6 linked regions of the Xenopus tropicalis genome follow. The protein of the gene in region 1 interacts with the protein of each later gene in a pairwise test. Links are inferred from orthologs where the notes say so. Each region holds a gene or a part of one and is shown in the gene's direction. Other genes may lie near its edges. The genes, in order: otx1, spry1, comp, vwc2l, chic2 and spry2.

Region 1 (5,602 bases):
AATTCGCCTGCAATTTGGGATTAGACAAAATACTCTTATTACAAAAAGGTTCTTTTGCCACTTGATACCCGCTCACTTGTATAGAGCTAGTGGTAAGATCCCAGGCATAAACACGCCGTCCTGATATCTGCCTTGTCTGCGGATATAGATACAGATACTTATACAGAGATATTTATATATATTAGGTTTTTATTATATATAGGTATATATGTGCGCGTTTAATATTTGATTTTAGAATTGCGGTGTCAAATAAATATAATGTACACATCTCATTTACTTTGGAACTGGCAAACTCTAATGAATATCTAATAAATTGAATAATTTCGGATTGATGAGGAGTCATTGGCGGCGGTGCCTTTAATGTAAGTGAGTAGGAATCAAAGAATAGCGATATAAAAGGGGTATGACTTTGGGGAACTTGAGAAAGACTGTATTATCCGCTCCCCAGTCCCCACTGCACCTTTGAAGGGTCCCCCCTGACCCTGTCCCCACACAAAACAATGTCATATTCCTTGTGTGCCGGTGACTCCCTTTGAACATCAACTCGCATTCAGCTTCTGCTCAATCAGCCCGAGATGTGGGGTTTTTAGATATTTGGGGACACAACAAAAGGCTTCCTTTAACCCTTCCTGTGCCAGTCACTGGATTTAAAGTTTCCCCTAGTTTTTTTTAGTATTTATTTATATTATGAGGAGCATTTGGAGCTCTTGTTTTCTCTGTGCACAATAAAGGTAAATAAATAAAGGTTTAGCCTGGGCCCCAAACTCCAGCAGCACGACGTCGCACTCATCAAATGACCCACAAGAATAATTCATATTTCATTTGTAGCTGGCAAACGGACTTTGTACTAAATTAATCTTCCTGGTGCACTTGTTGCTAATTATTTGAACTGCGACTAAATGGCGAAGCTACCGTTTTACCTTAAAAGAATAATAAATAATAGTTTAAGTAACAGAAAAAGGTGCCTGCGATTTTGTATCGATTCAGTCGCTGGGGATTTGTAAAAACAAAACGAAAGCAACACATTGTCTAACGATGGATAAAAGATTTATTTGCAAATAAGATCACTTTTTATTATAGTTTAGAATCTCAATTTGTAGCGGATATATTTTGTGAGATAACAGATAATTAGATAAGTGTTATCTGAGGAAACACGGTAGCATTTACTATATCGCACGACCTAATTCTGTGTTTGGATGGGAATTGCAATATTTTATGTAGAAATCTGCCCAATTACCAGGCGCAGGAATGATCGAATCATATTACTTACAACAAGAATCATTTGCCTCCAATAACCTTGTTTTCCAGCAGATAAGGAATAGCAAGAATACAGCAAGTAGGAAATTCAGATTCGTCTCATAAATCAATTCTAGCATGAAATATATTATTTTCAAACTTTAAAATATCGCCATAAAAACGTTCCCTTTCTACCCCGACACCTTCTTGCTATGGGCATAGGGGCAAAAGAGCTGGAAAAGTTATCAGCATCACATGATTTCTGTTATTAATATTAGTATCATTATAAATTGGATAGGAAGAGCAGCAGAGAGTTTGCGCCTGGGATTTGTTTGGTTAATTCTTATCTATGTACTAATAACAAACACTCTCCGCTTTACTCTGTGTCACTGCTCTTCCCTCCGCTCAGAGCCAGGAGCCTGGGCTTGTTCTCTGCAAGGCAAAGGGGCGTGAGTTAGAAAACTCTTCGTCTGCCTTGTTATTGGCTACGAAGCGTGTCGGTCTTTCAATGCTCAGCGCCGGATTGGCCGGGGAGTTCGCTTACGTAGCCGCCCATCGCTCACTTACAAGGGGTAGGGCCAGAGAAGGGTGATCAATCTTCATCAGTTCTCATTTCCAATCAGCTAAAGCGCCCGGCGCGACAGTGCGACTCTTCCGACAGGTAAATCACTTGATTTATCCCCATTTCCCTGGGCTGGGCTCCCGTTGCACTCAAATCCTCACCCTTTACTCTGCCCTTTTGGCACCAGAACTTCACTTAGTTTGGCATCTGGGTGGGAGCGCAACCTGCGCCGCCAGTGAGCCTTTCCCTACAGCTCCCAGCAGCCCCTTTCCCTACAGCTCCCAGCAGCCCCTTTCCCTACAGCTCCCAGCAGCCCCTTTCCCTACAGCTCCCAGCAGCCCCTCTCCCTACAGCTCCCAGCAGCCCCTCTCCCTACAGCTCCCAGCAGCCCCTTTCCCTACAGCTCCCAGCAGCCCCTCTCCCTACAGCTCCCAGCAGCCCCTTTCCCTGCTTAGAGTTTTACTGCAATGGAGAATTTGACTGATTCTGTAAGTGCCTCTGAGAAGGATTTTATCTAATCAATCCCAGGTTGTGACTGGTTGTGGGCCAGGGAGTGTATAAAGGCAGGCGGCCTGGCAGCTCCCACTCTTGCCTTTGCCTGAGCTGAGCGTTGGGCTGAGGCCTGACTCTCCCCCTAAATTGTATCAGATCGTGGGATGTGCAGTTTGCTGTGCGGATCGTTCTCTCTTCCCCCTGCAAAGTTTGTTTGTTTTCCGTCTCCTCCTCCTTCCCGGGATTATACAACTGCACCTCAGCGCTGCCAGAACCCATCCCCATGGGCCGAACCCAACCCTGCTGGCACCAGCCTGACAGGCACTGCCGAACTCTGCCCTCCACTTGCTTGTCCTGTGGCTCCCCCCCGGCCAGTCCTGTGGCTCCCCCCCGGCCAGTCCTGTGGCTCCCCCCCGGCCAGTCCTGTGGCTCCCCCCCGGCCAGTCCTGTGGCTCCCCCCCGGCCAGTCCTGTGGCTCCCCCCCGGCCAGTCCTGTGGCTCCCCCCCGGCCAACCTCACAGGGATGTACAGAGGCAGCGGCCAGGTGACTGGGCGCAAAGTGGCGCACTCTATCCTACTTGGGTTCCACTCAATTCTCTAAACTTATTTCTGGTCCCATTCCTGTGTGTTATTAGCGGGTTGCGACTTGTCTCCCTGTTTGTGTCACTTATGGCTTTAATTCAAATAGAAGTTTGTGTGTCAGTATATAAACGTGTGTGTATTACACTCCTCTTGCCCCGGCACACATTAAGTTGTACAATATACCTGGGAAAGCGTTATTGTAGTGACCCCCCAGCCGCCTCCTAGTTACCCCCATTCTGGGGCTGCCCGGCCGCACAGTGCAAGTAAGTTATGTTAATGAGGTATTTGTACAGGGATCTCCATTAATTAGCGCTAACTGGGGGGGGGGATTGTAGATTGGCCAGCTTGTGCAGAAAGAAACTTCATTAGCCTATCAATAGATCCCATCTGCAAAAAAATAAAGTTTGCTTACAAAACAAATTAGGCCGCCTTAAATCTCATAAAATTGCGCATATGTATAATGAGTCGCTGCAATCAGCACTGGGAATTGATCAGTTTGGCAGCTCACACCTTTGTGTGCTTCTTTTTTCCTGCGATTCTGCATCTGACTGAATAGAACTGCGCACAGTGAGCACAAGTAGGCCTTGCTGTTAGTCAGTCTGATAATTATAATGAATAATATCCCATCCGATCGGTATTATTTCTTTTGTCTGAAAACTCCTTTTACAGCAGCACCTATGGTTTAGTCTGTTGTCCCGCCGCTTTCTGCGATTTTATATAAAGGCGATTGTTAGAGGTGAATGTCCATCAAGGTATATGCCGAGAATAAGCCGAAGAGCCAAACTACAGAGATCCATTGGGTGCACGGGTTTCTGTTTGTGTGCCTGTTCTCTCTGCAGCTCTGCGCTATGTGCGATTTATTAACTTTTAACTAATAAAGCGCAATATTCACTTTAATCTGAGGTACAGTGAGAAATAAAAGGAGTTGTAAATTGTGCAGCTTTCGGGGCGCTGAGCGATTTTTACTGAATTATTTATACTTACTGTATTCATCGTGTAAATGTATTAACCAAAAGGAAATCGTCTGATTTATCTCCTGTTTTAGTTACTGCAGAACCCGGCAGAGTCTCCTGGTGCGGGGAAGGAAAGAGAGAACCCGATTGTGTCTCCCGTCGGGGGATTGGGAAGGAGTTGCCTTTGTGGATACTTTGGGGGGTTTCTGTCCAGCCTTGAGCATGATGTCATACCTCAAACAGCCCCCCTATGGCATGAATGGCTTGGGGCTAACGGGGCCTGCTATGGACTTATTGCATCCGTCTGTGGGATACCCAGGTAAGCCCCCAAAAATCGACAGACAACAATATGTAACTGGCTAAAAGTCGCATATTTTGTTACCGACTGTATATTAGTTACAACTGTATTAATTGTTAGACTGTATATTTGTTACAGGCTTTATCTGGCATATTGTAACAAATGTGGAAATATGGCTAGTAAGAGTTGCAGATATTTAGTAGCAGCTGTTTGTATTGGCACAGTAAATAATGAGGATCGGGGTACTTGGGGAGGCAGGTACGGGTCTGGTTGTGGGCAAGAAGTGTATAGAAGGGCGATGTGTTTATTGAAGAGACACAACCCTGTACCCGGGATTTCCCCACAGTGCAATGCTAATTCCATAGAGCCACCAGGGCCCAGTGCTAATTAAAGGCCGCGGAAGAGTCACTTAATTTTGGCTAAAGCTTTGGCTTCCAGGCAATTGTAAGAGGATCAGAAGTCAGTGGCCACACAAGGAAAGGCCTGGGGGTGCTCCTCGGGAAACTGCACTTTCTGATGTGATTGGGGAGGTCTCAGTCGCATAACAAACACCCAAACCTTTCCTTTATCGCACAATCCTGTTTAAACGTTTTCTGCCCATATGTGCTGGGAATCCTGTGCCAGTGAGTGGTTGCGGGCTGCAGTTGCACTACAGACTTCCAGCTGTATGGCAGGAATATTCCCTGTAGGTTCGCCCAGAAGTGCAGCGCAAATTCTATTCGATTTTATAAAATATAATATTTTATACATATATGTATAAACATTTATAACAATTAGTGGTGCAAGGAAACCTCGTATTTATTTGTTCGGCACCCAGAGAATGGGGGGGGACTAACTTTCACACATGCGTTTTGCTCTGGCTCCGCAAAAATACAATTACAAATTTTAAATACACAATTTCTATAACTGTGTGAATATAATCCATTAGGGAATGGGAACATTGAAGCTACATTCTCAGTCACATAGTGGGGAATTGACCCCCTCCAATTCTCTTGCTCCTTATATCAGATCCAATTAGGAATTTATTTTTGACAGAGTATTTCTAAATTTAAACGGGGTACAAACCAAAAATATTTTGCCTTATGGGAAAGAAACAAATACCCACGAAACTTTCCGAAATTAATTCGTTAAAAAGTCGCATTGGTTTCTTTTCCTCTTTTTTTGTTTTTTTTGTTTTGTTTTGTTTTATAATTATTATTTGGAAATGTAATTGCCATTGAAAGTAGTTTTGCTGGTGTCTCTTGAAACAATGTAGCACAATGTGCGTGTTTCTACACAGGTGTGTTACCAGTTGGCTGGTGTTAACATTGTTTCAAAAGTCAGAACCACCGGGAAGGGAATAGAAGAGAGAAATAGTAATTGCTTTAATTAGGAAATCTGAAGAGTTTCAATGTTTACTGGAATGTTGATTTAGAATTGCCATTTCTTTTTAATTAGGAAAAATGTATTTTATGAGTTGCATCCTCCTTTAACCTTGAT
Region 2 (5,416 bases), on another chromosome or scaffold:
ATAACCCCCCTGTCCTGTGTGCAGATAAGCACTCCCATCACATCTCTCTGATCTCCCCTTAGAGGCAAAGGCCAGGAACCCGTTCCACCGCTTTGTGTATAAACTACAGAAGCACTGCAGGCTGCAGCTAGAAATGCAAAGAGCGCTCTCACTGCGCTACAACTTCCTTAGTGGAGGGAGGGGGGTCTCCAATTAGCAGCCTGGGCCCCCTTCCGTGCAAACACCGTTGGTGGCAATAGGGTTAGTTTGCATTGGGTGCTTTGATTTTAGGAAATGATAATGGCAGGCAGCTCTCCCACATAGCCCCAGGCTATAAAGGGGGGATGGGAAGCTTGTCTGTCTGTCTCTAGGAACTCAAACAACAATGCAAAGGATACAGCTGCTTCTCTGCAAACAAATGTGTGTGGATACATATATATATATATATATATATAAGTGTTTATTTCACTTTATATATCTATATACACACACACACGCATACATACATACATACATACAACACAAAGTATGTACCCCCTATTGTAAGCTATAAGGATATTATAAATCACCAACTAGTTCCATGACCAAATACAGTTGCTGGGAAAGATACTGCTACTAACTAGCCTTATATAAATTGCAACAAGCAGCCGTATTGCATTAACAACACTGCTATACATTTATATACATACATACATACACACACACACACACACAATTCTAGAAATACAATGTAGTTAGACTGTATCCGTTGACCCTTTCAGTCCTGGCCATACATCAAAGCAGTCATGCCAATGGGAATGGGCGGAGGGATGGTAGTGGCAATGGTAGGACGGACCTACTACTATGAAATCCCAGGAAGGAATGTGTATTTGCAGGAAACTCAAGCTCCCCCCTGGGGGGGACAGGTCACAGTTCTTCCTTCCCTAAGGAAATAAACGTGAAGCTGCCAAGATCACACAGGAGACAAGTGCAGGCACATCAGCGCGGAGCTGCGCATCCAACACTCCCCGGGTACACACGCAAGCTATGCGCGCCCCTCTCATTAACTCTCTGCGCCCCTATACACAGCCCTTATGTACCTTATACACAGCCCTTATATACCTTATACACGGCCCTTATATACCTTATACACGTCCCTTATATACCTTATACAAAGCCCTTATATACCTTATGCACGGCCCTTATATACCTTATACACGGCCCTTATATACCTTATACACGTCCCTTATATACCTTATACACGGCCCTTATATACCTTATGCACGGCCCTTATATACCTTATACACGGCCCTTATATACCTTATGCACGGCCCTTATATACCTTATACACGGCCCTTATATACCTTATACACAGCCCTTACTACTTTCCTGCAATTTTGCATTTATTCAGCCTTATCACAGAGGCGCAAAATGCGTTGCTGCCACTAAGCCGATCTATAATGGTATTGCGCTACAGTTTCTTGAGAATAAAACTCCAGGAGCTAATAAAGAATTCATAGAAATTAAATTACAAACTACAGCCTATTGAGTTTGAAAATGCTATGTGCACTGGATCCCCAAAATCTCAAGGGGCCTCTGGGAAAAAAAAAACAATTAATTAAAAATTAATTCAGGGATGACGAACCTTCGAGTACTATTACTGACTGCCCTTCAAGTTATTGCCCCAGCCTTCCTGCAGACCTTGGGTCCCTTGATTTGTAAGTGCCACCCTGCGCTGTTAGTAAATGACCGAAGTCACGCAAAGTACTGCTGACAGGGCCATTACAGGGCTGTTTGGGGCGAGTTCCAATCTAAAAGCCTACCCATCACCCCATAAGTGGGCACATTTTTCGCCCGGGTGAACAACAGTGACAGCGACCTGACGCACGTGAAATCTCCGCTAAAATCCACCTTGCAGCGATTTCGCTCTGAGCTACCGCAGCCGCCACTGCCCCGCCCCTCCCACTTCTAATCCAATCAGCGCCGCCACGGCAGCTGAAGGTTTGGTGTTTTTTCCCCTACACTATTCCGGAGAGCCAATGAGAAGGCCGCTGTGGAACAAACCCAGCGTTCCAGGAATCCATTCATACAGAGGCAGGAGAGCGCAAGGCGTGGAAGGTTGTTCCCTGTGGAGCTGTGAGTGATCGCTGCGAGGGTGACACCCTCATTCATCACCATTTATTCTCTGCCCATCGCTTCTCATGTGGATTTCCTATCCGTGCTGAGGATTTAAGCGGCGCTCGCACACCGACCCGAGGAATATATGCGTGGGGCCGCGGCTTTCTGTTTAAAGGACTCTTGATAACGTTAGCGTTTTGCGATAAGAAAAGAATCGCTGGAGTTTACTTGTGGCTGAAATAAAGGAGTTATTATAAGGAAAAAGTGTTGTAGTCCTTGTGCCTCCTCCCATCGCATGCAGCAACACGGAGCCTACGGTGCCTGCCTGCTGGATCGCTCCTACCCCTGACAGAGGTGCAATTGCCTTTCCTGCCCACCTTGGCGTTTGTGGATTTATTTGTTTCCAAGGACTACCCTGGCCCTAATTACTGTGGCCCCCGGAGGGAAAGCTGCTACAATCAGATACAGTAGTGCCAGCCCTGGGGATTTACTGGAGACATGTCCCATGCTTAAGCCCCCCAGTTCCGATCGGATTTGCCGCAGCCTGGAGTTGGACGTGTTATTGCTTGGTGCATGCTTGCACAGAGGTAAGTGTCTGTATATCTGGATAATACTCTGCTCCTGGTGCAAGGCCATAAGGCAAGGATCTTTTACTGAAACTCCCAATATGCCAGCAGGCTTGCCCAAGTGAGGGATAGAGTGTATTTGCCCCATGACCCACTATCTTATGTGCCCCTTGGATACAAATATCCAATCGTGTAATATCTTTTCAGAAGGATGCACAACCAACCTGCGGCTGTGCTGAACTGCAGCTCTCAGAATGGCACCTACAACCCACACTTGCAGTTGTTGTTCTACAACAGCTGGAGGGATGCAGTTTTGATACCCCCCAGCTGCTTTACGCCTACATATTGCTGCAGTGTAACATATCAGCAGGCCATGGGTCAGAGTAGGGGCCTGCAGGGTTGAAGTTGCTTCAATTCGAGTTGGGTGTCCCTGGCACAGAAACGTGTAAATAAACTGTTTACGCAGACCTAGAGCTAGGTGCCCCTACTTCTTTCAAACGCAGGATGGGGACACCTAGTGGTAGGTGCAGGTAGTCGGACTAGTGTAGGGTAGGGGCTATTTATGTTAATTCTTTGATTGGTTAAATCGATCCGATGCCACTTTACTGCCAGAAGAGTGAGTGTAGGGGCAGTGAAGAGGCGATAAAACAGATTCGCAGAGAAATCTCTATGTGGGAACGCTGGCACACCTGGTATGGGGTGCTGAAACCCGTAAGGGGTGCCTTGTTCTGGGGCTCCGAGCTGGAGCCGATGGGAAAGGGTGCTGCGGTTGGAATGTGCGGAAAGTCCGCCCCCCTGCGGCAATCAGCGCCTCTCCTCCTCCTCCTTCTCACAGTCACGGTTTGTTTTTCATTCATAACTTTTTCCTTCCTTTCCCGTCTCTCGCTCTCTGATCATTCGGATTCTCTCTCTGTAGCCCTCCCCACCCCAATCCATCTCCATAATTTGCCCATTCCGTCTCTTCCGATTGTCGCACGATTAGTTATCCATTTGGCACACACGGTACAGTTATTTTATAGGCATTTTCTAAGCCTCAGATCGTGCGATTTTCTTTCTTTTCTTCAGTGAGAGCGTTTTAGCTTGCTTGCCTTGTGCAGCTGGAGGTGTGACACCAATGGGCTGTAGGATGTGTTAGTGTGCCAGGGCAGTGTGGGCATGCACCTTTGCACTGCCTGGCTCTGGAGGTTGGGTGCAGCTGGTATCACCCCTCTTTTTAGCATCTGCCACTCATCTGGGCTTGGGAATATATATTCAGCTTTAAAGATCATTTTCTCAGCTTGCCTTAAAAAACTTGTGCCTAGGGAATCACTGGAACAGATAAGTAGGAGGTCAGAACTTGCAGCACAGACTGATTAGTTAGTTAGTTTGTCTCTTATTTCTCTCCTTTCTTCCTTTGTTTTGGTCACCAAGAACTGCCCTTAGGTAAATATTATTTGACAGGGAGGCATCACATTTATTTATTTCTCCATGGCAAAACTCTGGGAGTTAAATTTGCTTTAAACAAGAATAAATTAAGATAGAGCCCCTTTATCAGAATTATACGCTGAAAGACTGAAGCCCTTTTAGTATGGTGAATTTCTTTTAAAGTTATTACTGGGGTAAAAGTCTTCTCTTTTGGAAATATATCATTTCCAGTCATAGGATAGGTTATCATTACCAAGTAATCACTTTGTTCAGATGTATAGTAGCTAAACGAGAAATCCATTCTGTGACTTCTTGAAGTGCTACGGTATCTGGAGGCTTTGTGTTTTTCTTGAACCAGTTGCATCATGCAGAAGCAGAATGACTTTCATACATGGCAAAACATGATTTATTAAATTGTAATGGGAGTATATTAGATATGGGGGGGAAATGCAGTGATCTGCCTTGCTTGTAGTTTATCTTGTAACTGTCATCTGACATTTTTTGCTGTGATGATTTGAATTTGTATCTTATATTATCTCCAAAACTCCGTTCTAAATTATTTATCTTTTGTTGTGTGTTTTGATCGGCAGGTTTTCAGATGCATGCCAAGTTCACGTTGAATGCCAGAAATCAAGATCACTACAGATGGAGCTACAAAGTCAACATGGCATTGGTGGTTCATTAGTTGTGATACAGCAGCCATCTTTGGACAGCCGGCAACGGTTGGAATATGAACGAGAAGTTCAGCCAGCGGCTATCTTGTCCTTGGATCAGATCAAAGCTCTTCGGAGCAGGAATGAGTACACAGAAGGCCCATCCATGGTAAAAAAGCCTGGACCTAAAACTGTACCAAGGCACATTAAGCAGGAACGGACTCATGAAATCATACCAATCAATGTGAATAATAACAATGAGCACAGGCCCACTCACTGGGCTCACACGGGACACCCACCTAATGGAAGGGCTCCTGGGCTCAGCAGGTCTACTAGCACAGGTAGTGCCGCCAGTTCTGGTAGCACAAATAGTGCTTCCTCTGAGCAAGAACTCTTGGGGCAATGCCCACCACCCAGATCAGGCTCTGGTCACAGGACTGAAAGGATAGTGCGAATGCAGCCTAAGGCAAGTGCTTTGCCTGCTGAGGACCTAAAGAGCTCAATAAAAATGGACTATTCACAACACCGGTTTATCTGTGAACAGTGTGGGAAGTGTAAATGTGGAGACTGCACTGCTCCAAGGACCCTGCCTTCGTGCCTGGCTTGTAACAGGCAATGTCTGTGCTCTGCAGAGAGCATGGTGGAATACAGCACTTGCATGTGTCTGGTCAAAGCAACTTTCTACCACTGTTCCAATGATGATGAGGGAGACTCGTA
Region 3 (5,435 bases), on another chromosome or scaffold:
CCTCCTCCTGTGCTATGTTGTCTGTGGCCTTGCCTGGGAAACTACGTCTGCCTGATTTACCTTACGACTTTCTGTTGCCAATCCTTCGCTTGCCTGACTCTGATTTTCAATACTGCAGTAATTATTCTCTAATTTATTAGGAAATGGGGTTAACACCTAATCATGCATGGAAAAAAAAAATACCGTCAAATACCGTGACACCGATATAATTTTGAAAAATACCGTGATATAAATTTTTGGTCATACCGCCCAGCTCTAGTTCCAAGTATGTTATATACAGCTATATCTAGGGGTAAGCAGAATAGAAACACACTGCAACAATAGGGGGTGCTAAGCCTTTACCTCTTCTGTCTGCTTAAAGGGGATGTTCACCTTTAGCATGAATTTAAAGAGCCCTGTCAGAAAAAAAACATATAGATCATATTTATTATTTAAAATAGGCAGTTTTGTAGCTACAGACCAGGACCCGCACTGCTAAAACTCTTTCTCCTTTGCTCTCCTCTCTGTCTGGAAGGGATCACAGACTCCAACTTGCATTCTGCCCACAACAAGAACTTGACACTAAACTGGTTCTACCCATGCCTTCCCTCTCCTGCTTATTTACATATTTTAATACTATTGGCTTGTAAGGTTCAGCCAATCTGATCAATGAGATGCAAATGAAGGAGGAGAGCATGTGCAGTAACCAGTTCAGTATTAACTTCCTGTTTTGGACAGAATACAAGTTGGACTCGGTGAACATCCCCTTTAGTCCAGGCCACTGTCTCACCACCACCACAGGTCACTTTAACTCTATCGTCGGCCACCCCGTGCGTCATCACTGTGTGTGTACGGTGACAGGGAGGGCAAGGCGGCAGGCTGAGTTGCCTAGGGTGCCTGGCCGGCTTGGATGATATATGAGTTCCAAATATGCTGTATGAGTATGTGATTCAGAAGCACAAGAAAAAAAGGTTACTTTCAAGAATTCCCTATGCATAGATGGATCTTTTTCTACCATTTCACTCCAGTTAGATCAGGGGTGGGCAAACTACGGCCCGCGGGCCACATCCGGCCCCTTGGCCTTTTTAATCCGACCCACCGACGACGCCAAGTCTCATCACGCGAGACTTGGTGTCATTGGCGGGCCGGAATTAAAGAGACGAAGGGGGCGTAACGCTGGCCTGGCCATGCCCGCCCTGGCCCGGTCCGGGGGTGAGTAAATGTGGCCCGTGAGCCAAAAAGTTTGCCCACCCCTGAGTTAGATAGATGACCACAAACTATCCATTGAAATTTCTGTTGTGTTTTATCAAAACAAAGTTTGTTTTACACAACTGCTTTTTTAAACAAAATATAAAAAGTTATATTGGGTGCATTTCATCTTGGAAGAGGGCATATTTTCTGAATGCACTACATCATATGCAGGCACCGCCAGTTCCATCGCCTGTTCTAAATAAAAAGTGCCCATGCCACATTCTACAGACATTTCAAACTCCAAAACGTCAAAAATCATTACATTTTCAAAGCTGAGAATGTTATTATCTATTACATCAAGTGATATCAACTGCTAATGTTTAGAATGAAAACAAAATTTAGGGATGCAGAGAATCCACAATTTTGGGTTAAGACAAAATCCAAATCCAAAAAAGATTTAGCTCAAAGCCAAAACAAACTTAAATCATAATTTATATAGTTCTGTTTTTGAGTAAAGTAAAAAAGATATATCATTTGTGAACAAAAAATCAGCAATTCCATTAGTCCAGGGTTATAAAGTCACATGACTTTAAGGGCTCTACTCTACCCAGCTCATCTTTTGATGTACATCTGACATGCAAACCTATTTTGAAGGCCAAAGGCAAGTTATGGACCAAAGCAATCGATGTTTGCACTGAATAAGTTTAATATGAGAACAATCTTTTATTAGCATGTTATTTGTACAGTTTCTACAATTATACAGAGATAAGTTGTTAGAACCCCTGGAGATTATCTCAAACACTTTGGAAAAAGTAATATGAAGGGGAAAGAAAATCAAGGTTGGGTTAGTGTTTTATGTGTTGTAGCCAAAACTTGACTTCCATCCAAGAAATTTCAGCAGTGGAATGAAAGTAACTTCATAAACAGAAGCAAGGAGACTTTGGGCAGGAGTTTCAGTCACAGAGCGAAGAGAACATCACACCATGCTCTCAGTAGCGCTCCTCTCATCTTTCTGTATTTTCTTTGGATCATGCCAGCAGTTATCTGGAAGAGGTATGTGGCATACAATGCATTTAGCTAATAATAAATTGCACATAAAAAGATTACACAATATGACTTAATGAGTGTACAGAGAAGTAGTAATGCAAATGTTTAGATTTGTTGCTTTAATTAAAGTGTCTATAAAGCATATGATGCTTAAATATGTATAATTAAGTGTTAAACCACATTTTCTTTAATATATTTACTTATGTTAAGTAAGGATAAAAGCCTAATTTTGCAAGACTGAATAATATTTCTAAACTCTTTTCACGTCCACATTTATGACACCTTTAAAATGTAGACATAGATGCCATTATTAGCTTCACCACCAACTTTAAATCATGCTTAGCAGGGGATACATCCAAGATGTATAAATATATAAGGGAACAGTACAATATTAATATTCACAAGTAGATATTTCCAGAGGACACCAGGAAATCCCTTCATTAAAAGAAAAGAACAGTACATTTTAAGGTCCAAAGAAATGTTTTTACCCTGTGAATTTTTATTCAATGAAGTGGCTGTACTGGCAAATACATTAGGTAGCTTTGAAAGTCTGAATGCTCTTTAAGCAAATTTAAGACCACACAATTACAGGTATTTGTTCTTATACAAAGTTGATACAGGGGCTGGTCTGATTTTCCCTTTTAAATCATGGAGAAACTTTTCCTCCACTAGACATACTGGAGATGGTTTCAGGGAGGGCTGTTTTCACCTTCTTCCAAATCAGCTGTCAGTTAGGCAGGTAAAGGCTGGTGGACATCTGTCTCGTTTTTTAACTTCATCTGCTATGTAACAGGTTGCCCTCAACCTCAACCCCATAAAGTAATACAAAATCATCAAAAACAGGAAAATATTTGGAATAATAGCATTTTGTATCAAAAGTGAGTCTTTAGAAATGTATATATGTCTTTCTGTCCTGAGTGAACTTTTTGCCCCCTTTATTCTACCAAATACAATTATGAAAAACACAGTTCAGGCTTTTCCTCAGACAAAAAACACACAATTACATATTTCTAGAAAATGTGGCCTTGTGATGTTTGTGAATGCAGAATTAGAATTCAAACAATTTCTTTGTAATGGGTATACACAATAGGTGTATTCAGCCTTCAGTTAAATGTTCATAATACGAGTTCTCGCAGAGAGGGCTTTCCATCCTTAAGTTTCAGTTTGGGTTTTTGTTTGCATTATCTCTTAATCAATGTACTGTACAGCGCTACAAACTGTATTTATGCTTTATAAATGAACTGCAGCAATTCTACTGCCTGCATCAGATAAGGCAGGCACAGGTCAAGGACAATACATGTTAAAGAAGAACATGTTTTGCTATAAACATGGAGCCAAATGGCATGTCTCATAAATAATTGTCAGGTAGACTTTATATACTTTATAGTTTTATGAGATATATTTGATTTATTAGTGTGCTGCTTTAAACATTTAATTTCTTGCTGCAAAACTCCCTGTCATACTACTGGACAATGCACATTAAAGGAATACTGTCATGGGAAAATCAGTTTTTTTTTTTTCAAAATGCATTATTCAATAGAGCTTCTCCAGCAGAATCCTGCATTGAAATCTGCTTTTTAAAAGCACAAACAGGGTTTTCACACAGGGCTAGCCATATTCTTCATTTCTCAGGGTGCAACAGTCATGTGACTTGTGCTCTGAAATAATTCAATCACTCTTTACTATTGCGCTGCATGTTGGAGTGATATCACCCCTTCCTTTTAGTAGAACAATGGGAAGTTAGCAAGATTGCAGCTACCTAACACCTGTATTAGTAAAAGTGGTAGATATCAGAATAGCACTAAATAGTAAAAAATTCAAGTCCGGCTTGGGACTCCTCCAGTTACATAGGGGTAAAAGAAACAATAGGTTACCTGAAAGCAGTTCTAATGTGTAGCACTGGCTCTTTCTGAAAGCTCAGAATCAGGTACAATGCAATGAGATGGCACCAATATTATAACTAAACAAAATCAATGGGTGCAGGAAAGATCAAAATTGGTATGTGTATGGCCACCTTTAGGCATATACCTCAGGTCAGTACATTTTAAAGTAAAGAAAAGCATTGACCTGGGGTCCAGGGCTAAAGATTGTATTCACTGGAGAAGAAGTTTAGCACCCTAGAGTGAACTGCAGTTTCCTTGTGCTTTAATGAACTGCTGGGTTAATATTTCTATGTACAGGATTGCTTTGTAGCACCAGTATTTCATCATCTTTGAAGGCCATGAGATCAAAACATTTGCTTTGGATCCCAGCAATTACTGAATTATGTGTATACATACAAGACTAAATATGCGCTCCCCAACTGTTTGTGGGCACCAGTGTTAAAGGCGACACTGATGGGCACTGTTCTACATTCAAGTGGAAAAAAGCCCCTCATAGTAGACAGTATTTTCAGAAAGCCTACACTGACATTTCATTTGGCTTGGCATGAGATCTGCTTATGTCAGATGTGGCAGTTTAGTGGAAATGTGTAAATATAAAGTAAATATTAGAGGGTGGATTTTTATATAACCACCTTTAATGCTTAGGGTTTATGTTATGACTATGACTGTCCTTTTGAAAATAATTTACACCATCACCACACATTATTGCCAATGTGGGCTCCTGGTTAAAACTTAAATGATAAATAAAAGTCAAAGACTAATGGTTTCCATTAAAACTCCATTCATGGAAAACATTAACCACATTGTTTTTGAATACCCTATCACAAGTCACCTTCAATCATTCAAAAACTGCACTCAGTTTCCACTAAAACATCATGTAATGGCTTTCCAAAGGCATGACATAAGCAGAAAGCATATTTGAAATATATATTCCCTATAACAACTGCAAAAGAATGTCTATAATCAGGTCTTTACATATTTTTACCACATGTGCACCATAACAGGTGGATGCTTGACCTGCTATTTACTGCAGAGACATAAGGCGTTTTTTGGCAAGTCCCCTGCCTAAACTTGGCCTGGCATTAGTCTATACTGGGTTATTTAGAAGCTTCCATTATTTTAAATGGAATGGTATTTGAGTCCATGAAGTAAAGAGCTGACAATTCAGCTGTAACTTTATATTTTGGCCATCATTAAGAATACAAGCCCTTAAAGTGAATAGGAGGTCCATTTACATGTACTTGGCCATATAAGGAGCTAGCACATGGGGTCCTTATACCATTTTTATATGTCATTGTGTATAAGAGACATTATTGCAGTGTTGAAATAGTATAC
Region 4 (5,483 bases), on another chromosome or scaffold:
ATCCAGCAGTACTGGGTTAGTAAGTTTTTCCATTGCTAAGGTGCTAGAATGGTGATCTGAGAGACTAGGCCACTACACATAAGGTATGAGGTGCGCATCCCAGAGTAAAGCACACAAAGGGTTAAACCTCATGTATCTTTGATACATTCTTCTATCCCTCCACTGTGTGTTTTCCCAGATAACTCAAACAAAACAATCCTGACATCGACATGGTCTGATGGACTTGAAGGACAATTGACTGAGAATTGAGATTGAAAAGCGCAATTCTGATAAAGCTGCAAACTAAAAGCACATGGAACAACCCTCTTGATGTACGTTCTCAAATAAGATCAGATTGGATTTCTATTAGCTTTTCCCCCTTAATCTTCGCTGACTATCCAGTCAGGGGGGACTTTGCGTGTTTTTATGAGGTCACCGCTGCAGAACTGATTGAAACCAAGATATGAGTCAGTAGGGCATTGTTGGGTTATTCCATCGGAAAATGTTGAGTTTTTTTATTTTATTAATCAGGAATACTAACATATTCTTAGCAGGTTCTTTGTGCACAACCATGAAATGTTGGTGTTTATAATGCTGCACTGGAAGGCAGATGATCAAAATGCTGCACAACTATTGGATCCATCAAGTTTAGGGCCATTTTTGTCTTTTCCATCACCTGGACGTTTGCTATATGGGCTGCTCTTACATGCTCTCTTCCTGTTTGGCTGCTTCCCCTGAGAATTCAGAAACTGCCAAAACCTTGCAGGAGCCCCATTATGTTTTCTGGCCACTTGGGGCACTTTAAGTACAACCAGCATTAAAATACCTTAGAAATGAACTGCTGGAACAGATACAGTGAATCAGTGAATGCTGCCATTTTTACTCTCTCTATTCCCTCTCTATTCCCTCTCTATTCAGAGTCCTTGGAACCTATTCTTTCTCTATTCAGAGTCCTTGGGATCTGAGGTTTATTGAATATGGCTTTCTGTAATCTGTAATTAGTTTTCTAAAAATAATGTAGGGTTTAAATAAACCCAATATGATTGTTTTTACACCATTATGAATTCTTGCTGTTTATTTACAATCAAGTGCAAGCTATTATGTTTGTTTAATTATTACAGAGAACAATGGAAATCATCTTTAGAAATTAGAATTATATCCTTAAAATTGAGTCTGGGAGATGGACTTCCATTATTCAGAGCTGTATGGATAACAGATCCCATACATACATATACTGTATATCATATAGGTGTTTATGTGGCACAGACATAACTAGTAGCCCCCATTAGTCCAGTCTATAACTTAAAAAAAAAAGATAGGACTTATGAAAAATATGTATCTTGTACTAAATAATCTGGATATGTTTTGTCTTTACTGGTAACATTTAACCCTTAATAATGAAGCACAAACTCATTTACTATCATGAAGTCAATCTGAAGGGGTTAACATATATCAAACCATTGCTTTAAAACCAAATTTGATCATTTATAACTACCTCAATTGCTAATTATTTAGAATGGGTTAAAGAATGGGTTAAACGTAGTAGTTGAGCCCTAAAGTATTTTTGCTTCCAAGGGTTAATTGCACCAAACAGGTAAAAGCTGTCCTTGGCTAGGATTTATGAGTTTATTTGCTGGCTTGGACAAGGCATCTTATTTAAATTGATTTACCACGATTGCATTGAAGTTATTTCCAATAAAAGCATTAATTCAGTGCACATCATCAGCGGAGCAATCATTATTCCCAGCAGCAGCAGCAGCCTCAGCACGAAGCTCACCTCTCCGCTCTCCTTCTCTCCGCAGGTCAGTCGGTTTCCCTCGCTAGCAATGACGGCTCAGTCAAGCTGTTGGCTCTTCCATCCGGGCAGCTGGAGAGCTTGGACGGACATGAGGATGACGTTCAGTGTGTAATATTCAGCCACAATGGGGATTACTTGATCTCTGGGGGCTCCGACGGTACAGTCCGAATCTGGTCCTGAAGAAGACCCGTATGAAGTAGTTTGCGCCCAGAAAGCAACAAAATTAATTTCATGGAACGAATATTTCTTGAGCCTGAATAAATATTTTGCAGTTGGAGTGGCCTGTGCTTTATTTTAATATATGTATCCATTACAGCAATTAAGTGCAGCATTCTCTGACACCTTTCCATGCTTTACTACACGTTGTATTGCAATTGCCGCACCTTAACGCTATCATAACGCGAGTGATGCTTTTAGCAATGATATCACAGATTGGAGGATGATTATGGATGAACTAAGTCTGGAAACTGGGCGTTCCTATGGTATCAAAGAGGAATTCTCAGCATCTTCTCCTTAGTCCCCAGAGGTATACTAAGCCCTTAAACAGTATTTAAACCATATCAGTAAAGTGCCGGCGGCTTCAGTAAATACTCTGACCTTGGAATAGCATAATAATAAACGCTGGGTAATGAATTCTCCACGGCCTTTCGTGTAGCCAAAATGCAGGCTCTGGCTCTAAGGGCTTTTCATATTCAAGGGCAAATGTTTCTGTCGGTATACCCACTTGCAGAGCAAAGCACTAAAATAATACATTTACATTGGTGACTAAAATGGCAATAGGGGTCAATGGCTCATGAACTATTAATAGATCATTGAAAAAAACTGCACAAATAATTTTATGTACTACCTGAATTTAGAGCAGGGCTCTAAAATGTCGGTTCTATACATCAGTGTGTATAAGTTCCGGACCTATTTACTATGGCCTGTTTAAACTGACGCTATAAACAAGTGAGTGTTGTAAATAAGGTCTAACTTGGGACACTCAAGCTGCTGTTCAATTCAAAATCCCAGCATCCCCAGCGACCTTTATCTACTAGTGGATGATGCCAGCAGTAGTTGAGTGGATACTAGTTAAGCACCGTCACTATTATAGCCAACGTTACACAAATAGTTAACTGAGGGGAAGGGGGAAGAGTCTGCCCCAGCCCACGTTAGGAGATCCTGTTCTTCATTCCATCAGCAGTCTCCCCTAAACGCCTCTCTTTTGCTGGGGGCTGGAGCAGTGCTGCGTCCTGCCGTGCAGTGGAGGGAACGTTGCGCTGCTGCTGTAGTTGTGAGTCGCTGTTGCAGGGGCGCTGTGTGCCATTGTGCTGTGCGACTCTCCCTGGGAACAGCTCGGAGCCGCTGTCCGTGGTGCTGAACGCAGTTGGTGCCGCGTCTCGATGGGCAGCGCTCAGTGCGACTGAGATCAGTTCTTTGCGGAGCTCCGAGGCGCTGTCTGTGGTGCTGAACAGCCTGTGGCATAAGGCGCATTGCTGCTGTCCGTGGTGCGGAATAGAGAGCACTATGTCCGTGGTGCTACAGGCAAGCGCTGTGTAGATGAACAGCATTGATGTGTCCAAGGAGCATCAGATCTCCTCTTGCTGGTGAAGCTAGTTCGGAACTAACCATTCTGGGGAGTTATTTGCCCCTTCTTATTATCATCTCCATGTGGTGCTGAACTGACTATGGTTCTGAAGCAAAATGTTGGTTCTATTTATTGTCTTTCCACACTGCAGGGTGATCGCCCGCCGTGTCCTGAGATGTAAAAAGTTATGAATTTGCCTTCCTTTCTTTCCTCTGGCTACTTTTGTGACTGCAGCCTCCCACTGAAGCAACATATTGCCATGGTACGGAGGGTGTTCCAGACTGGGCATAGGCTGAGCTTCATGCTGTTGCTGTTTGTGCTGCTGAAACCATAATATACACATGCACATACACACACACCGCCTCCTCAGCTGCCACTGACAGAGGGGAACCCAAGCACACTGGATATATTGCAGTTGGGACTCCAGTGCAACTACCAGAAGGTCACAATGAGCTGTGGATTAATCTCAGTGTGTTTGGGGGTTATTGCTGCATATCAGTAAACCAATCTGTGCAGAGTTAGGAAACCTGGTGGCAATACGGTATCCTTACCAAAGCTCCTGTGCCATGGATGGGAAACTGAAAGGACGCTCTTTTAATTCGTCCTAAAATGGGCCCTTCTGACACCTAGGATGGGATAAATATGGACTGTGTTCTACTGGCACAAGGTTGTCCTGCTAATCTTCAGGATTAACCCCTTTGAGGTAAGGGAAGTGCTAATGTTTGCAATCAGTCATTGCACCTCTCAATGTAACAACCTGCCTGCTGGAGTAATTATATCTGTACCTCCACATCATCAAAATGCTTTTGTATCCATTTACAGCTGGTTATATACATATTCACAGAATTAAAATCAGTCTTTAACTTACCAAGACCCAACACACAGGTTATCTATTTCTCCAACATCCCAGTTCCATACCCCAGATTGTAAGCTCTTGTGAACAGGGCCCTCATTACTTCTCCAGCTATTTCACTACAAGCCCCCATACATCTGATCTTGTACATATTCACTCTAAAGAAGGTTGTAATATATACGTTACTTTGGCAGCAGCTATAATGCATGCTGGTTGTATGCTTCCCGTGCCGGTTTCTATGAATAATAAAGTATAGGTAACCTGTAGCATTCTTAGGGAGGATTATAGAAGCTGATTCAAATGATAAGGAATTTCCAGGGCTCCCAGGCACACAGCTTTCATTTCAATACCCTGTAAAATGCAGAGGCACCTTACAAATCACTTAACAAAATTGCTTAATGCCAAACATGCCGCTGTAATATCTACAGTCTCCTCTCTGTGAAGGCAACAAGAAAACTGCAGTGTCAGTGTAGCATTCATTTTAGCCAGCCATGCGGCTGTTGCTCTCAGTTTTACACCTTATCTATAAGCCTGGCTCAGGGAAGATTTAAAACTGTTCCTATTTTTCCTGACCTGTCCATCTATTAAAAGGTTGATTTTCATTTGCAACCAGACTGAGCCATTCACACCCAGTATTTACAGTTCTATGCAGCATGCCAGAATGTGTGTTTGTGAGGCAGGGAGCATGGGGTGGGGGATCAGTTTGTTGCAGCAACCATTAACCCTTTGGAAACTTGTAATAAAGCTGTTTGTAATTGTGTCATTCATCATACAAGCTGTATATTTATATACAAGCAGGATGTGGGCTTTGTTGCACTATTTTAAGTTGACTCTGCCTTTTACTCTTTTAAACACAGTCCTTATGGGTTTTGCATTGAGCCACTGCAATACTTATGTGGAACAGTGGATTTACCAGAGGGGACTCTCTCTGCATTCAGTGATACAACACCCTAAACAGTTACACTTGAGCCAATGTGAAACTTTTCTACTTCTATTTTCTACTTAAAAAAAAAATAAAAATCTAGAATCATTCTAAACTCTGTAATACTCTGGGTCGGATAGTTAGGTCTTATTAAGTCACTTAGTCTTGCACCATGTGACACCATGAGGATGAATCTCATTAAGTGCAAGCTTAGTAAATAGGCCCCACTTATTTGTTTGTAAAAAAAAAAAAAACAATTTTGTGGCACACTCATCATTGCTATTTAATATCTGAATACATGCCTTGGATATCAGTGGAAAAATCATGTTGCCCCATTGCTGTGTTCTGCTGTATTTGCACTTCT
Region 5 (4,887 bases), on another chromosome or scaffold:
GGGGCTTTAGAAAATGAAGATTTCCCAGTAATAATCCCTGTAGGAATTTTTCTAGACACCCCTAGATAAATGGTGGATATTATGATATTATGGATGTTAAGAGAAACTATACATGATCTTTTTAAATGGTTTTAATCACTATTTATTCACTTTTTAATCACTTTCTTTTTAAATGGAAAGATATATTTGGATAAGAAATGAGCACTGTTTGTTCTCCTTTAAATGGGAAGGCACAAATTTGGATATATTATCATGTTTAATTGATTGTGTGAAATGATTGGTTGTATATACTATTTAAACACCGTGGTCACTTCTGGTTATCATCCTGACGACGATCCCTTGTGGATCGAAACGCATCGATGTGAGTGTGGAGCAATAAAATCTATTTTTGATACTTTAAAGTATATTGAGCCTTGAGTGCTTTCAACTGACCTCATGTGGATAATTTTTTGGTGAGCACCCGGTGTCTGGCTTTGGAGTGGTGAGTGCCGTCAATGGAACAGATATATAATATATATAGAATTTTGGTTTTTTTTCAAAACGCAATAGTTAATTGAGCCTCTCCAGCAGAATCCTGCATTGAAAACTGTTTTTTAAAAGCACAGATTTTTTTGATATTTTCATATAGGGCTAGCGGTGTTCTTCATTTCCCAGAATGCCACAGCCATGTGACCTGTGCTCTGATAAACTTCAGTCACACTTTACTGCTGAGCTGCAAGTTGGAGTGATATAACCCCCTCCCAGCAGCCGATCAGCAGAACAATGGGAAGGGAGCAAGATAGCAGCTTCCTGACACCTGTATTGCTTAAAGTGGTAGATATCAGAATAGCACTCAATAGTTGTGGATAACCTTGAAGGCATACAATATAACTGTTATAGGGCTGCTAAACCTTTGGGTTGGTCCAGTAAGTTCATTATATATATATATATATATATATATATATATATTATTTCTAGCCATAAATTTTTTTTTTTTTTTTTACTTTAACGAAAACTTGTGCATAGATTATTTTTATGCTAAAAGCACTGATGGCATTTTAATGCTGCATACTTTCTTGGGAAGATCATCTCATAGGCGCCATTATCTCAATTGTCTATAATGAGGAGGTATTTCAAATTATTTCTCGCATTCTTTCAACTTGTTCTTCCCAAGAGTACATACAGGTGGCAACCAAATGGCAGACGTGCTGTTAGACTTAATGTATCAAACATATCTTAGATGACAAAAAAAGACTCTCATCCAAACATTAGTGTACATCCTTGTAATACATTTCTATTTTTGCTGCAGTGCAAGTACAGGTATGGGACCTGTTATCCAGAATACTCAGGACCTGGGGTTTCCGGATAAGGGGTCTTTTCATACCTTGGATCTCCATATCTTAAGTCTACTAAAAATAATTTAAGCTTTAAATAAACCCAATAGGATTGTTTTCCCTCCAATAAGGATTAATTATATCTTAGTTGGGATCAAGTACAAGGTACTGTTTTATTATTAAAGAGAAAAAAGAAATCATTTTTAAAAATTAGAATTATTTGCTTATAATGGAGTCTATGGGAAATGGCCTTTCTATAATAAGGAACTTTCTGGATAACGGGTTTCTGGATAACTGATCCCATACCTGTACTTTATTGATCAGAATATAGTTTCTAGACATACCATATTCCTGTAGTGCAGAGGTTGTTGGGCGTATTTGGCCAGGCCCTCCTATTAATATAACTGACCGCTAAGCTGTACTTCCAGGCATACCCAAATCTGTTGCTAACTGGCTTTCAGGCTGGCCCCACTAAGCACACTTTGACCACCAAAGGAAGGCAGCACCACAGTTTGGGAAAAGTTGTCAGAGTAGTTAAGCTTACCAACTCCCCTTTTTTTAAAAAGTCTTCTATCTGCTATGTGTCACATGGATCTAATCAATATGTTGTCTGCCGGTGGGATGGCATTTCGGGGAAATTTGTTGCGGGCGACTAATCTCCCTGCGTGCCAGAGCCCTTATGCCAAGTTGAGGTAGCCTGAATATCCAGAAAATAACCACCCTGTTCACTTTGGTTTGCAAAAATGAAATGGTATAAAATATTGGTCGAAAACTGTAATGACCCTACCCCTTAACATATAACAAAAATGATGGTTAACCAGTTAAACACTGATGACGAAGTAATGATCTTAATCATGAAATCAGATTTCAGTATTTACATTTTGGCCACAATTAAAATGTTTACATTTTAATGTATTAGTTGAAGTACAGCAGTATGATCTCTAATGATTTTCTTTTTTCTTTAGTTTTGGTCTTAGCAACAAGTTTGAAGCAGAATTCCCTTCTTCCTTAACTGGCAAGGTATGTGTCAAAAACAAAGTTTAAAGACAAACAATTTGCTTTCTTTAATACTGTTCTCATACTTAGTAACATTTTCCCCCCTTTCCAGGTAGCACCTGAAGAATTTAAATCTAGTATTAACAGAGTCAACAGTTGTCTTAAGAAGAATCTTCCAATTAATGTCCGCTGGTTACTTTGTGGATGCCTTTGCTGTTGCTGTACATTGGGCTGCAGTATGTGGCCAGTTGTTTGTCTAAGTAAAAGAGTAAGTTGACCAATTCTTGGCTTCTTGATTTTGTCTTACAGCTTAATCATGTAATGTGCTACTGTGTTCTTATTAATAATTCTCTTATTCCACAAGGCTTTGTTGTAATATGCTTTTAAAGAGGGCATATTTCTCTTCATACCTATCTTCAATGTATTTTCTTTCATACCCAAAATTTGCTTATAGCTGATGTACTTTCCTTTTCTTTATATTTGTTATTACAATCTCATACTCCTAGCTTGTGGTGCCACTGAGAGGCAGTGCATATTACCCCTAATTACAATTAGTAAATGGGTTAAATAGCTTTTAGTTAAAAGGTGTTACATTTCTGCAGAGATGATTCCTGTAATGAGGTTGGGAAAAAAGGTTACGAACCATTGTGCACATCTTATTTTGAATTTTACTAGAGCTAACACCATTTGGGTCTTTGTAGAAGTATACATTTTGCTTATTTATAATTTCAAGAGAATTAACTTATATGCAATATGGCTCATATGAAGATTTCCACTAGGTATATAGAGTTCTGGCAGCCTTACTTAATTAGCTTTCCACTAATGTGTTATTCACTTTCTGTAACACTTAAAACGTGTTCTCTTAGGGGACAATGGATGCTGCATGTTTGGGCAGGTAAAATGTATGGTGGACAAAACACTCCATATCTCTTATGTATAAATGGCTGTTCCTTTTACATGTGGGTCTAAGCAATTGCCATTTAAATAAATAAGGAAGCATTTCCAGATGATTTATTGTCTGCCCCCAGGCTATTAAACACTTGTGCAACAATATGTGGTGGAATGCAGGGGAACACAGGGCAAAATGCCCATGTGTAAGGGCCCTTAAGGGAGGCCTTAACTCTTTACAAAGCTTTCCCATGTGGCTGGTAATCTCTAAGGTAGATGGTTTAAAACATAATTACAGATTCAAGGAAGTTCACGTATGAGAATACTGCTTATAAGAACTGTCAGCCACCTTGCTGTTATGTTAAACCAGAAATTTATGTTAAACTTAACTTTTATTATCTTATAATCAAGAGTAAATGGGAACTATTAGAAACTCAGAAGCCCATATTGTGCTGTATAATTAGATTTTTAGCATTTTTTTTTGTAAAGTAAAAGTAAGATACACACACATTTGTCTTAACAGTTTGACCTCCCAGTAAATACCATTTTTTTTTCTTCACCTATAAAGACTTTTTGTTATACTTCCCCTTTAACATTTTAAGTGCAACCAAAGAGCCACCCAGAAATGTAGAATTTGTTGCAGGAAGTCTGATACTAATAAGTGGGCATCATGGATTCTACATTTCCAGGTGCCTAATCAACATATTGGTTTCATGGCAGCGGGTGTAATAAATCAAACATCCCACCATATCACCATGAGGGATAAGCAACTTCGTATTTGGCTTCTTTTTTGTAATTTCTTATGTTTTGAATTATTTGCCCTTCAGCTCATTGCCCCTTTAATCTGGAATTTTAAATGCTGTTTTCCGAGGTCAGTGGCCCTAGCTTAGCATTCAGTATAAAGCTTAATATTTGTCTTTTTATTATGGTTTTTTTCATATAATTTCTTAGAAAATTCCATACTGTTGAGTAGCACTACTGCTAAGGGCATTGAATTGGTCTGTGCTAAAAGTTAATTTTAAGTTTCCCTTTGCCTACTTGACGTACAGTTTCACATAAGGAAAGCCGGGAACTATTTTTGCCTTTGAGTTAGGAAAGCATTTGCTTTGCATGTGATAATGATAATCACTTCAGATGAAATATGTATAACCATGAATTTTAAATGAGATTTCTGTCCACTGGCCATTGGGGGTATCTATTCAACAGACAAAAAAGAATAGTCTTTTAATGGATAAAGTGAGTAACTAGTTTAAATCTATACTTCTCCAAACCATTAATAAAAGCCCTATACAAAAACAGGCTTAGACCCCCATAGTAACTCCTGTGTTGCAAGCTTGATTAATAGGCCTGGAGGATAACTGAATTCTTTTTATATTGTTGAATGTGACCTAGAGAAGAGAAAGGGATAAACAAACCTTCTTTTAACTTAAATTACAGTTATAAACCACTGAAAAATTTTCAAGCAATGTGTAGTAGAAAGCTGCTTGGAATTACACATTTGTTCATTATGTAACACATTTTTTGGGTTGTGGAACCCCTTTCTACACTAGGTTCAAATCTTCTTTCATGAGTCCATATTTGTTTCACTCCCAAGTTACACAAGCAGAAGGATGCATTGCAGTCTTAGGCATCTAGCTGGTTGGCTATACGCATTAGCAAGAATCTTGATATTCTATATTTGCAGCTATGG
Region 6 (3,544 bases), on another chromosome or scaffold:
GTGGGGTAGCTCTTCACTTAAACAGGCGAATTCTAAAGATCTCTGAAATTTAAAAGAGCTCTTCACCCAGCTAGGGTAGCATCCTGTGCGGGAGTCAATGAATAATGTGCATTATTCAGGCTATCCTCACCTAGTTCGGCAGATCCTTTTGCAAATCTATCAAAGCCGTCAAGACTAAAAAGGCAAAGTGCTGTAAAATGCAGGTACTATTTGTTATGCTAATAGTAAAGTGTCCTGCCCATTGTAATTCTTAGTGTAGTGACCTGAAAGAAATGTATGAAGGGAGTGTAGTCAAAATGCACGTGTTCCTTGCAGCTGGTTTCCTGTTATTTTAATTGCTGTGTATGCTGTCCTTTTTAAGAAGAACGTGATTTCCACGCACTTGCTGTAACATGCAGTGTTCTTAAGATATGAGAGTTGCCTTCAGTACTTGTCTGTCATGCTTTTAGTAAAATGTAGCTGGAACTTTGCACGCTCACGAAGTAGACTATTACTTATACAACTGCTTTATATTCATGGGGTTGTACTACAGCTACTTAGTAATTCACTATGATGCAACTTGCCCTGGAAGAGTAAAATGCAGGTGATAGGTTCAGAACATCAACTTTTATCTAATGCGTCTATATTTTTTTTGTGTATATATTAAGTATATTTATTAATAAAGCTTAGAAGTATTATGTAAATTCGATTTTGAAACATGATATGTAACTTATTTGTGTATTAAATGCAGCATTTTAACCTTCTGTTTACTTATATATTTTTTTTTTTTCCTCTTTCAGCAGGATTTCAGATGTGTTCTCAGCCCACAGGTGTGAAAACTCTTCAGAGTACTGATGGAGACGAGAGTACAAAATGGCAACGTATCCCAGCCTTTGCTCCCGGCTCGGCGTGACAGTGAAAGATTACATAGTGATGCTGACCCACGTGAAATTCTGACACAACAAGTTCATGTTTTGTCTTTGGAACAAATAAGAGCCATAAGAAACACTAATGAATACACAGAAGGGCCTACAGTGGCTCCACGCCCTGTGATTAAATCTGCTCCACGACAGACTACGCCACACAAAAATGAAAGAATACATGTGGTAAATGAGCAGCGACCTTTTGTCAGGAGTCCACTTCCACCAATGCATTCCTTGTCTCAGGCACCTTTGTCACGATCAGTCGGTACAGTCACTTCATCTTGCCGGAGCAATACGAGGACAAGTAGCAGTTCTACAGAGCAAAGGCTTCTTGTGCCACCATTTACATCTTCAGGGTTGGTTGCAGACCGAATAATAAGAGTACAACCCAAACCTGAGCTGAAATCAGACATTTTAAAGCCCTCTAGTAAAGAGGAATTGGGCTTACATTCATTAAGGTGTGAGGACTGTGGGAAATGTAAGTGCCAAGAATGCACTTATCCAAGGACTCTCCCATCTTGTTGGATTTGTGACAAGCAGTGCCTTTGCTCAGCCCAGGAAGTTGTTGACTATGGAACCTGTGCTTGCTGTGTGAAGTGCCTATTCTATCACTGTTCAAATGATGACGAGGATAATTGTGCAGACAACCCATGTTCTTGCAGTCAGTCCCACTGCTGCACTCGATGGTCTGCCATTGGTGTCATGGCCTTGTTCTTGCCTTGTTTGTGGTGTTACCTTCCAGCCAAGGGTTGCCTTAAATTGTGCCAGGGCTGTTACGACCGCACAAATAGACCCGGATGTCGCTGCAAAAGATCAAACACAGTTTGCCTTAAAGTTCCACACCTTCAGCCTAGGAACTTAGAAAAACCAACATAGCACAGGTGAACGGACGTTTATAAAGAACATAACTTCCTTTTAACACTCAAATGCAACCATCTTGTTACATTTAGGAAAAAAAGCTTTGGGATAGGATTGCCTGTTTGCAGTGAAATACTTATGCATCAACGGATTTAGGCTTAATAGAGAACCTCTAATAAAGCTTACAGTAGGATTTGGTGTTCTGTGACGACTATTGTGTACGCTATTGCAGCACAGACACTCCTATGTAACATTGTATTGTTTGTGAATAGTACTTGGAACATTTGTAAAATTTGCAAATGGCTTTTTTTTGTCAGAGATATTATGTTATATTTTTGTACATAAACCATATTTACAACTGTGAAAAAAGTGCCATTTTTTGATGGCATGGTCACAAAATTTACTAATGTACATTCAAAAGAATGTGAATCAATCAGTATGGTTAGATTGTCCTTCGCTTTCTGGAACTTTTAATATTACCAGACTTCTATTCTTTGGATCTTATGTATATTGTACAGTTACACTGTAAGATTCAGCCTTTATTTTCTAATGTTTCAATATTGTTTAGTGTAAAGTATATTTATTTGAAGTTTTATTATTTTATAAAGAGAAATATTTATTTTATGAAGCATCTTACAAATGTCTCCCCTTTTTATGATGTCAGTTTCTGCAAATTGGGGGTGACTGAGACATATGTTCACTATAAAATAGAAATATATTAACGTCTGAAAACAAAATGTGGCCAGTACTCTTTCTTCTTTAGACTGAAACAGTCGGGTGACTTTCTGTAAGACCTAAATTAAAAGGTATAATATTGGACCAAGCATTGCATTACACACAGGTTTTATTGACATTGGGTCGCTGATAAAAACATGGCCCCCTGTTAGGCCAGATGCATTGGGAGTATCAAAAACAACATAAATATGAAAGCAGATGACCACATCTGAGAATAAGTGCACTCTGTTAGCATTTTGGTCAGTGTAAGCTGGCTTTAAAAATTAGCTTGCTAGCAGACAGTCATACAAGTAGTGGCAAAAAAATCACCTGTGTGACATTGTGCTTAGGCCTTATGCATTTACCAGCTACTACAAATTGTTCAGGTAGAATTGACAGCAACACTCAACATACTCATTCAGGCAGTACCCTTGGCATAGAATTGGACATGAACACAATGCCCACAAAAAGCTGTTGTGGATCCAAATATTCCAGAGAAAATGGGTTTGCATAAAACATGAGACCTTAGTTTCATAATGCAGTATATTTCATAACCAGTGATATTTCCCATGAATTATAGCTGGAAAACTAGATTTTTCATTGGTGTATTTGCGTTTACCCTCCCACTCATTCAGTGTAGTTGTGCTGAGGCTAATAGGTTTTTAACATCACATTCAATAAAAAATATTTCAGCACTCTAAGCTGAAGGAGTTGGCGTAGTGTGATTTGATTAGCGTTAGGTTGCAATTTCTTGGTATATTTCAATGAGAAGTTTTTGTCTTTGCACTTATGTGGAGAAGAGGAAAGGAAAGCAATATTTTGGACAAAAATCTGCCATTTACCAAGCCATGCAAAGGCGTGACATTTTGCTAATGGTAAGTAACCGCTTAGGAATGTTACCAAAGTGTGAGCACGTTCAGAGCACCAGCACAAAGGGCAACATCACACAACAGGCGAAAGTAGAGTCCCAAAGTGCCCGCAGTGGCTATCACTTGGTGTGTTTATTCAAATGCTTGCATGGCATTTGTCTATTGAAAACATGGCAGTCTGCAATTCCAGAAGGAAGTCTC

What was found.
Region 2: the proteins of otx1 (region 1) and spry1 interact in binary tests that used the Homo sapiens proteins (3 or more experiments, as listed by UniProt). The two-hybrid records come from large-scale screens. The link is inferred for Xenopus tropicalis from reciprocal best matches to the Homo sapiens genes OTX1 and SPRY1.
Region 3: the proteins of otx1 (region 1) and comp interact in binary tests that used the Homo sapiens proteins (3 or more experiments, as listed by UniProt). The two-hybrid records come from large-scale screens. The link is inferred for Xenopus tropicalis from reciprocal best matches to the Homo sapiens genes OTX1 and COMP.
Region 4: the proteins of otx1 (region 1) and vwc2l interact in binary tests that used the Homo sapiens proteins (3 or more experiments, as listed by UniProt). The two-hybrid records come from large-scale screens. The link is inferred for Xenopus tropicalis from reciprocal best matches to the Homo sapiens genes OTX1 and VWC2L.
Region 5: the proteins of otx1 (region 1) and chic2 interact in binary tests that used the Homo sapiens proteins (3 or more experiments, as listed by UniProt). The two-hybrid records come from large-scale screens. The link is inferred for Xenopus tropicalis from reciprocal best matches to the Homo sapiens genes OTX1 and CHIC2.
Region 6: the proteins of otx1 (region 1) and spry2 interact in binary tests that used the Homo sapiens proteins (3 or more experiments, as listed by UniProt). The two-hybrid records come from large-scale screens. The link is inferred for Xenopus tropicalis from reciprocal best matches to the Homo sapiens genes OTX1 and SPRY2.

Annotation. Positions count from the first base shown.
Region 1 is NC_030681.2:32,915,593-32,921,194, reverse strand, and holds the start of otx1 (homeobox protein OTX1), read left to right. Parts: upstream 1-1,792; 5' UTR 1,793-1,897; intron 1,898-2,187; exon of another isoform or gene 2,188-2,286; intron 2,287-3,212; exon of another isoform or gene 3,213-3,449; intron 3,450-3,917; 5' UTR 3,918-4,047; coding exon 4,048-4,144; intron 4,145-5,602. UniProt on the Homo sapiens protein: Probably plays a role in the development of the brain and the sense organs. Can bind to the BCD target sequence (BTS): 5'-TCTAATCCC-3'.
Region 2 is NC_030677.2:65,663,086-65,668,501, reverse strand, and holds the start of spry1 (protein sprouty homolog 1), read left to right. Parts: upstream 1-2,107; 5' UTR 2,108-2,649; coding exon of another isoform or gene 2,650-2,663; intron 2,664-2,683; exon of another isoform or gene 2,684-3,644; intron 3,645-4,636; coding exon of another isoform or gene 4,637-4,691; coding exon 4,692-5,416. UniProt on the Homo sapiens protein: Inhibits fibroblast growth factor (FGF)-induced retinal lens fiber differentiation, probably by inhibiting FGF-mediated phosphorylation of ERK1/2. Inhibits TGFB-induced epithelial-to-mesenchymal transition in lens epithelial cells.
Region 3 is NC_030677.2:107,117,735-107,123,169, reverse strand, and holds the start of comp (cartilage oligomeric matrix protein), read left to right. Parts: upstream 1-2,099; 5' UTR 2,100-2,153; coding exon 2,154-2,223; intron 2,224-5,435. UniProt on the Homo sapiens protein: Plays a role in the structural integrity of cartilage via its interaction with other extracellular matrix proteins such as the collagens and fibronectin.
Region 4 is NC_030685.2:58,211,431-58,216,913, forward strand, and holds the start of vwc2l (von Willebrand factor C domain-containing protein 2-like), read left to right. Parts: upstream 1-2,117; 5' UTR 2,118-4,047; intron 4,048-5,483. Other genes in the region: spag16 (sperm-associated antigen 16 protein), read left to right, coding at 1,782-1,957.
Region 5 is NC_030677.2:39,929,995-39,934,881, reverse strand, and holds part of chic2 (cysteine-rich hydrophobic domain-containing protein 2), read left to right. Parts: intron 1-2,278; coding exon 2,279-2,333; intron 2,334-2,421; coding exon 2,422-2,577; intron 2,578-4,887.
Region 6 is NC_030678.2:125,075,329-125,078,872, forward strand, and holds the end of spry2 (protein sprouty homolog 2), read left to right. Parts: intron 1-779; 5' UTR 780-833; coding exon 834-1,778; 3' UTR 1,779-2,384; downstream 2,385-3,544.